Linked DNA regions of Lonchura striata. The protein of the gene in region 1 binds, or shares a complex with, the protein of each later gene. Links are inferred from orthologs where the notes say so. Each region holds a gene or a part of one and is shown on either strand. Other genes may lie near its edges.

Region 1 (3,904 bases):
GCTGAGGAGGGGCAGATTTAATGAAAATATTTAGGGATCCACTCAGGGATGAGAGATCATTGACAGAAGAGCAGGAAGGAAAGGCAAGTTTCCTCATAAAGTCTCACAAAACTTTGCTTCGTTGGACACAGCTGTGTTGCAAACCCAACAGAAGCCACATAGGGCAGCCAAGTACAAAAAGAGTCCCTTCTCCTACACTCAGCAGCAATGCCAGGTGACAGGGCTGCCAGCCCAAGCACAGCACCTCGCTAAGGCGGGCAGGACAAGGCACGATGTGTCTGCCCATAGGTGAGCGTTCCTGCGGGGGCAACTGGCGCTCGCTCGGGCCTGGCAGCCAGACTGCTGCGGGCTCGGAGCCGCTGCCTCCCCGCAGCCCACCTGGCTCGCACTTGGACGGGCTCCACATCGAAGTAGGGCCGGAGGATGTCGATGTTGGCGTAGAGGCTGAAGGCCCTGGAGGCTTGTCTCTTCCCCACCTGCCACATCTGCGGAGAGAAGGAGCGGGCAGCGGCCGGGCGGGCAGGCAGGACCCGGGGCCGGAGGCTGACGGGGGACAGCGCTCACCTGGTCAGCGACCTGCCGGCCCAGCTGCCCCCGCAGCCCCTTCATGCCCAGGAACTCCCCGTCCTCCTCCTCCTCGCCGGCGCCCGCCTCGCCCTCCGCCTCCTCCTCCTCCTCCTTCATGCGCTGGTGCATCTCCCCCATGTCCTCGAAGCTGGAGCCCGACGTGTCGTCCATGTTCTCCATGTCGATGACAGCGGAGCCACCACCCTGCGCCGGGGCAGACTCGGTGTCAGCACCCCCTCGGCCCGGCCCGGCCCCGCCGCCCCCGGCCCGGCCCCACCTGCATGTTGTCCTCGAAGCCGCCCCATTCGGCGGCGGGGGCGCCGCTCCTGCCGCCGCCCGCCGCCCCCGGCGCGGCCATGGCGCCGCTCCCGGCCCCGCCGCGCTGGCCCGGATGGGCGGGAGCGGATGTGACGGAGCCTCCCGGCGCAGCAGCACCGCCAGCAGCGCCGCCCATCGCGCTCATGGCGGCGCGGCGGGGCACGGACGAGATGCGGGACCGCGTGGTGCTGGGCGAGTTCGGCGTGCGCAACGTGAGCGAGCCCGGCGGGCGGGACGGGGCGGGGCGGCCGGCGCCCGCACCCCCTCACCCCCTCACCGCCCCGCCTTGCCCTCTCCCCGCAGGTCCACACCACCGACTTCCCCGGGAACTACCCCGGCTACGAGGACGCCTGGGACCAGCGGCGCTTCGAGGAGGTGGGTGAGCGGCGCCGGGCCGGGGCTGCCCGTGGGTACGGGGCCCTGCAGCCGGCTGACCCGCGGTGCGCGGCTCCCACAGGCGTTCCGCGTGGACGTGATCCGTGAGGAAGAGGACGCCCTGGAGTTCGACATGGTGGGCATCGACGCCGCCATCGCCAACGCCTTCCGCCGCATCCTGCTCGCCGAGGTACCTCTGCTCACCTGGTGGTGCCGGCCTAAGCCTGGCTTGACAGGGAGCGTGGAATGTCCAGCATTGTCAGCCCTTGCGGACAGCTGCGGGCTTTGGAAGAGAAGCACACGTTCGTTCCGCATGGGTGCCAGGAGCCCAAAGAGAATTAGGACTTTAGCAGCATGGGCAATAGCGCCTGCTGGTCCTAGGGGTGCTTTGGTAGTGTCTGCGGGTCAGCCATTTCAACACAGCTGCGTGGCCAACCCAACAGAAGCCACATGATGCTGCCAAGTACTAACAGGTTCAGGATGCCCCAAAGCCCTTTTTCCTGTCCTTCATCTCTTGATTGTTTAAAAAGACGGGGATAGGAATAGATGTGGTGTACGGGTATATTGCATAGCCTGATTTGGTAGAAATACCACTCAAAATAGTCTGCTTGGCAGTTATTTGTGGGAGAGGAGGGACACTTGAGCTGCATAATCTCTTGGCATGTAGTTCAACTATTGTCTTAAGCTGACTTGATCTCTTGTCTCCTTGAGGTGCCAACGATGGCTGTAGAGAAGGTGTTTGTGTACAACAACACATCCATTGTGCAGGATGAAATTCTGGCTCATCGGTTGGGCCTCATCCCTATCCGAGCTGACCCTAGGCTCTTTGAGTACAGAAACCAAGGTGAGAATCTTGAACAGAATAGAAATATTGAAGGTTTCTCTCAAAGTAGGAAATCAGGGTTGTGTAAACTGAGCAGAAGTGTGATTTCATATGCTTCTTCCCAGGAGATCAGGAAGGCACTGAAATTGATACTCTGCAGTTTCAGCTGAAAATCAAATGCAAACGAAACCCTCAGGCTGCCAAGGAATCATCTGATCCTGATGAACTATATTTCAATCATAAAGGTGAGATTGCTCCTAAAAATAGGTGCTGTTTTTTCTTTTTGGTTTTGGGCTGTTTTCTCAGCCCTGTGTGCTCACAGGGAGAGTTGATTCCATTCTGCTAAACTTTCTTTTTGCTATCTCCAGTCCTATACAGCAGCTGGCTGATGCTTGTGGCTTCTCTTTGCAGTGTACAGTAAACACATGACATGGGTGCCCCTGGGGAATCAGACAGACCTTTTCCCAGATGCTGACTTCCGACCTGTTCATGATGACATCCTCATTGCACTGTTGCGACCTGGACAGGAAATAGATGTGCTTATGCACTGTGTCAAGGGTATAGGTGAGTCGTGGCTCCTGGGGCAGCGGGAATGTTTGGAGTAGGGCACTGCAGTGTGATGGGGAAGGGTGGAGAACTGGCTTTTCCCCTGGAACTTCAGGCCTGAGCATCCTTGTTCCCTGAGGCCTGCTCTCATCCTTGACTCTTAACTCTTCATACAGGTAAGGATCATGCCAAGTTTTCTCCTGTGGCCACAGCCAGTTATCGACTGCTTCCTGACATTACTCTCCTGCAGCCTATTGAGGATGAGGCAGCTGAGATGTTGCAGAAGTGCTTCTCCCCTGGAGTCATTGAGATCCAGAATATCAATGGTACTTTTTTCCTGCGCTAACTGCCTTGTTCCTTGCAAGCTTTAGATTGGAGCTTAGAGCCAAACTTTGCAGAAACAAAACCACATGTAATGTTGCTGTGCTGATCAATGGTTCATGTTCTTCCGAGCCTACTTTTATGGATGAGTAGCTGCCATGTGCAGCATGTTGGGTGACAAACACGGATGTCCCTGAAATAAATTGGATACCTGTCCGCAGAGCTCTGCAGCTGTTGACTGCAGCTTGCAGTGCTGTTCAGTTGTGACACTGGGTAGTGAGCTGGAAAAGCAGCTGAGTGTGGAGACTTCTTGTATCTTTCTGGGGTGCATGTACGCTTTGTGTTTGGGTTTTCCTGCCAGGTTAGACTTTCATGTTGGGTATATGCTAATTCTTTTTATTGGTGTCTCCCAGCCTTTGGTGAGGAGGGAGTGCCTGTTTGAGGTAAGCACATGTTGTGACCATAAGGTATCCACCTGCTGCAATTTGTCCATCTCGTTTCATCTTCCCTTTAGGAAAAAAGGTGGCAAGAGTAGCCAATGCACGGTTGGACACATTCAGCAGAGAAGTTTTCCGACATGAGAGTCTGAAAAACCTCGTACGCCTGGCAAGAGTACGGAACCATTACATCTGTAAGTGCCTCGTTTTCCACAGAGTCCTGACATGGTTTGTGTGAGCAAGCAGTGACTGACCAGCATGCATGGCTGGCTCTGTGCCTCTTCCTACCCTCAGCATCCATACATTCAGAACGCAGTGAGTAACTACTTGCTTTGGGATTGAATCTCTTGGTGCTTCCTGCTGGCAAAGGGAGCCGCTTGTCTGGCTGTGAAGATCTGGCTTGTTGCTGTGAGGTGCAAGGGAAGGTGAGGGCCAGCAGCATGGAGCCAGGGGCATGGAGGCTGAGGCTGCCTCGTGGCTGTGCTGACTTGTGTCTGTCTCTGTGCAGTTTCAGTGG
Region 2 (3,904 bases), on another chromosome or scaffold:
AGGGACTGTGCAGGTCGCTATCGCCTGTCACCCCCCAGCTGGCAGGCAGAAGTCAGCGAGCACTTACAGGAGATGTTCCCTCAGAGATCCATTTCTGAAACATCTTTGCAGACTGAGAGCATGAGGATGTGATACAGCAATTCAGATGCACTGCCACTGCTGAGATTGAGGCAGGGGAGGGACAGAAGGAGAAGAGAGGCTCTAGGCATCACCATGTATTTATTAGCAGTGATCGCTGACTTACGTGTGGGCTGTGGCTTGAATTTCTCCCGGGTGTAGGCATCCCCTGCCTGGCAGACCCCGGCAGGTCGGAGAAGCGGTCTTGCTGGAAGCCTGTGTGGCTGACAGGCTGCTGGGGAGGAAACAGTTACTGGCTGTTTGCTGGATGGGGAGAATCTCTGAAGGGGCAGGGCATCTCCGCCTGGGGGACGAACCAAAAATAACAGCAAATCAGACAGGAGGGACTCTGAATGGATGGCTCTGGGCCATTACCAGCAGATCTACCTGTTGATCTATAGCAGCATCACAAACGAAGACCCCAGTGCCCCAGATGTCTCACCCTGGTCACTGGGCACGACAGACTGCGGTTCAAGTCACACCGTTACGCCTTGTTTCCTGGGCGACCCGTGGGGACAGCTCTCCCGCTTGTCCCCATGTGCCAGCAGCCGCTGTGCTGCTGGTTTAAAGCACTTGCCCATCCGAGCAGGCTCTGGGCGAATGCCGAGATGCAAAAGCTCCACACCACAGCACAGCAACTGGCAGGAGAGCCAGGGCGCCTCACTCACGTTTCACATAGGCCATCAGGTATCGCTTCTGGGAATGCGTCATCTGCAACTCCTCCATCATCCCTGAAAAACACAACGCGTCGATGAAGAGGCAGCAGAGCCGGGCTGGAGAACCCGCCCTAGGGTCACCTCCTCTCACAACCCCAATCCGAAAGGGAAGATGCGGGTTTAGGAGACTCCAGCCGGGGCGGCAACACCGGCGACGGGCTCCGCCGTTACCTTTCACTAACTCCCGGGTGCCTGTGCTGTAGCGGGCCGGCCTGCCCGCCGCCGAGAGCCCGCCGCGGCCCGGGCACCCTGCGGCCTCCATCGCCACGGGCGGCGCCCGCGCGGCACGGGGCAGCGGCGGCGGTCGCCAGGGCAACGGCCCGCGATGACTTCCGGCAGCGTCACGGCGGCGGCCGGAAGCTGCTCCCGGGAGCGCCGGTCCGGAGCGCCCGGCGGGAAACATGTCCGACAACGAGGACAAGTGCGAGCGGGGCGGCGGGCGCAGGGAGGGAGGGAGGGAGGGAGGGAGGGAGGGAACGGGGTGGCGGCGGCCCGGCCACAAGTGCGACGCGTGTGTCTCTCCCGCAGCTTTGACGGGGATGACTTCGACGATGTGGAGGAGGACGAGGGCCTGGAGGACCTGGAGAACGCGGAGGAGGTGGGTGCCGCTCGCAGGGCCGCGCGGCTGCTGTGGCTGGGGTGGCCTCAGCGGCTCCCCCCACACCTCAGGGCCTCGGTGGCGGGTGCGGCTGAGCAGCGGCGCGGTCTGTTTCTCCCAGGAGGGACAGGAGAACGTGGAGATTCTGCCCTCGGGAGAACGGCAGCAGGCGAACCAGAAGCGGATCACGACCCCCTACATGACCAAGTACGAGCGAGCCAGAGTCCTGGGCACTCGTGCCCTGCAGATAGCGTGAGTATTGCCTGCTGTGTCCCCAGCACTGCTGCAGCTGTGCCTCCTTTTACACTGATTAGAGCTTTCCTCTTCCCTTAAAAATTCCCAGGTCTTCTGAATCCTTTGCATGACTGCCGAGCTTGCATGTCACCCTCTGGTCAAACTGAAGCTTACTCTTTATTGCACCTGAAGTCTGTGTGTCTCTCCTTGCCTGAAACTGTACTACGCGTGCACAAAGAGGGAGCATTCAGTAGCCACAATGAGTTTTCCTAGATCACGGGCAAAATTACTAGGGAATGGGACAAGACAGTTCTGGTTTCTGTCTTTCTTCAGAGAGTCAGCATGGACTTGAGAGTTCGTGACTGGTTTGTGAAAGGTAATGTTTGAGATAGAGATGCTTCAAAATAACTTCAGTTGATACCTCAGGGCTGTAGGAATTGGGAGTGAAGAAACCAACCTGAAATTTGTTCCAAATGCAGTTGCATTGTGGGTAGCTGTAAGGTTATTGAAGTATTTGCAATAAAAAGGCCTTATTTATAATAGACAATAACATTTAAAATTTACTTTAAGTGCTGTCAAGGCTGGCTGCTCTTAATTCATTTGACTTTTTAGATTTGTTTTAATAATAAATATTTAAAATGGTGTGCTTTTTGGGAAACTACCTTCTGAGAGAGAATGTTAGACATTGGCAAGGGTTTGAGTTTCATCTTGTTTATATCCACCTTCACAATGAGGCTTCTCTTGTGCATCATTTAGAAGCTCACAGGCAGGCAAGCTGTTCTTTGCACAGCCTGTGAAGCTGTGTTATGCATGTTCTTTCAGTTGGTGAGAGGCAAGAAGAATGGGGGGAGATAAAGGCTGTGCCAGGCCTTTAATCCACTCTGGCACTTGGTTCTGCTTCACCAGCAACTTCTACTTTCAGAACCCAGACAAGCAGCAGCTCCCATGGCCTCACCCACACATAACATGAGCTTTCTCTGCCACCACTGTCCAGGTCATGGGTGTAGTCACAATCCTTTGCAAAATGCTGAGTTTTTTCTTCCAAGAGGTAAAATGCCTTGTAAATCCAGCCCTTCTCTTCTCCTGATCGAAGCCTGGGAGCTGTGAGCAGGTCAGAATGTAAACGATGTGTTGGAGCTGTAGAAGGTCTGCTCATTTTACAGCAATTGCAACCTTTTAATTGGATTAATTTTAGAACCATTCTTTTCTACATGTTTAAGTATACAGCAGAGGGCGACTAGGAGAGTGTGGATTTGACCAGTCACTGAGCTTGAGCTGGTTGGCAGACCCCTAGGGATGGGAGAAGAAGAGCACTGAAGTAAAAGTTTGGTCTGTAACCATCTGGGGGAATTTTCTCCTTCAAGGGCACAACAGAGCAAATCAGTTTTGCCAGGATAGTGTCCCACCCCCCTACTTCATTGGCTGTTGTAGAGGTGACACAGGTAAGCAGGTGTTTAACTCTTCGTTCTCTGTGTTTTTGCTCAAGTGGCTGTTGATGTTTTTCTTAGGATGTGTGCCCCTGTGATGGTGGAGCTGGAAGGAGAGACAGACCCCTTGCTCATTGCCATGAAAGAACTCAAGTAAGTCACAGATTTTGTACTGATTTCTGTAAAGCCAGCAGTCCTCTCCTCATCCCAACATGTAGCAGTTTGTTCTAAGACAGCGTTATTTTCCATCAATAACAGTGAGCAAGTACTATAGTTGCCTTTTCCTTTCTTCATCTTGTAGTTTCTCCACAGCTGCTCTCTCCCAGACTACTTGCTCCTGCAAACTGATGATTACGAGTGCTCTGGACCTCTTCTACTTCATGTTCCCAGTATTATTTATTTCTGTGATGGAATCCCAAGGTCCTCATCTTTTGGGAAGTGATTTAATTTCCCAAATGGAATTGTTTTGAAGCAGCCAGCTGAACAGAACTGTGTTCAAATGAAGTGCTAGCAAAAATTAAAATAAGAGTTAGGCTGATGAGAATGTTTATTTCCTGCACCCTTCCGTGCTTGGCTTCTTGTCCTTTCCCCCTGCTTACAGAAAGGTGAATAAATCCTTTCTGACTGCAGCAGAGGCAGCTTTTGGATGACCACTTGCAGGCCCACTTTTCCACAGCAGAACTCCCTGCTGTCCCACAGTTTTCCTGCACAGTCCAGGTCACATGCAAGCAGCTGGACACTGTTACTGATTAGGTCCCTGTCCTTAAACAAAATTATCCCCCTGCTTCCCCAGTTTCTCAGTGCACGGAAAC

The links.
Region 2: POLR1C (region 1) and POLR2F share a complex: the UniProt entries of both Homo sapiens proteins name them as parts of the pol I pre-initiation complex. The link is inferred for Lonchura striata from reciprocal best matches to the Homo sapiens genes POLR1C and POLR2F.

What each region holds. Positions count from the first base shown.
Region 1 is NC_134605.1:36,012,556-36,016,459, forward strand, and holds the start of POLR1C (DNA-directed RNA polymerases I and III subunit RPAC1), read left to right. Parts: upstream 1-990; 5' UTR 991-1,028; coding exon 1,029-1,097; intron 1,098-1,188; coding exon 1,189-1,260; intron 1,261-1,342; coding exon 1,343-1,450; intron 1,451-1,971; coding exon 1,972-2,104; intron 2,105-2,208; coding exon 2,209-2,328; intron 2,329-2,494; coding exon 2,495-2,647; intron 2,648-2,805; coding exon 2,806-2,955; intron 2,956-3,464; coding exon 3,465-3,581; intron 3,582-3,895; coding exon 3,896-3,904. Other genes in the region: protein YIPF3, read right to left, coding at 379-485, 565-771, 845-925. UniProt on the Homo sapiens protein: DNA-dependent RNA polymerase catalyzes the transcription of DNA into RNA using the four ribonucleoside triphosphates as substrates.
Region 2 is NC_134607.1:23,581,465-23,585,368, forward strand, and holds the start of POLR2F (DNA-directed RNA polymerases I, II, and III subunit RPABC2), read left to right. Parts: upstream 1-1,139; 5' UTR 1,140-1,234; coding exon 1,235-1,254; intron 1,255-1,361; coding exon 1,362-1,431; intron 1,432-1,552; coding exon 1,553-1,683; intron 1,684-3,173; coding exon 3,174-3,245; intron 3,246-3,904. Other genes in the region: C5H22orf23 (UPF0193 protein EVG1), read right to left, coding at 245-421, 786-848, 1,005-1,095. UniProt on the Homo sapiens protein: DNA-dependent RNA polymerase catalyzes the transcription of DNA into RNA using the four ribonucleoside triphosphates as substrates.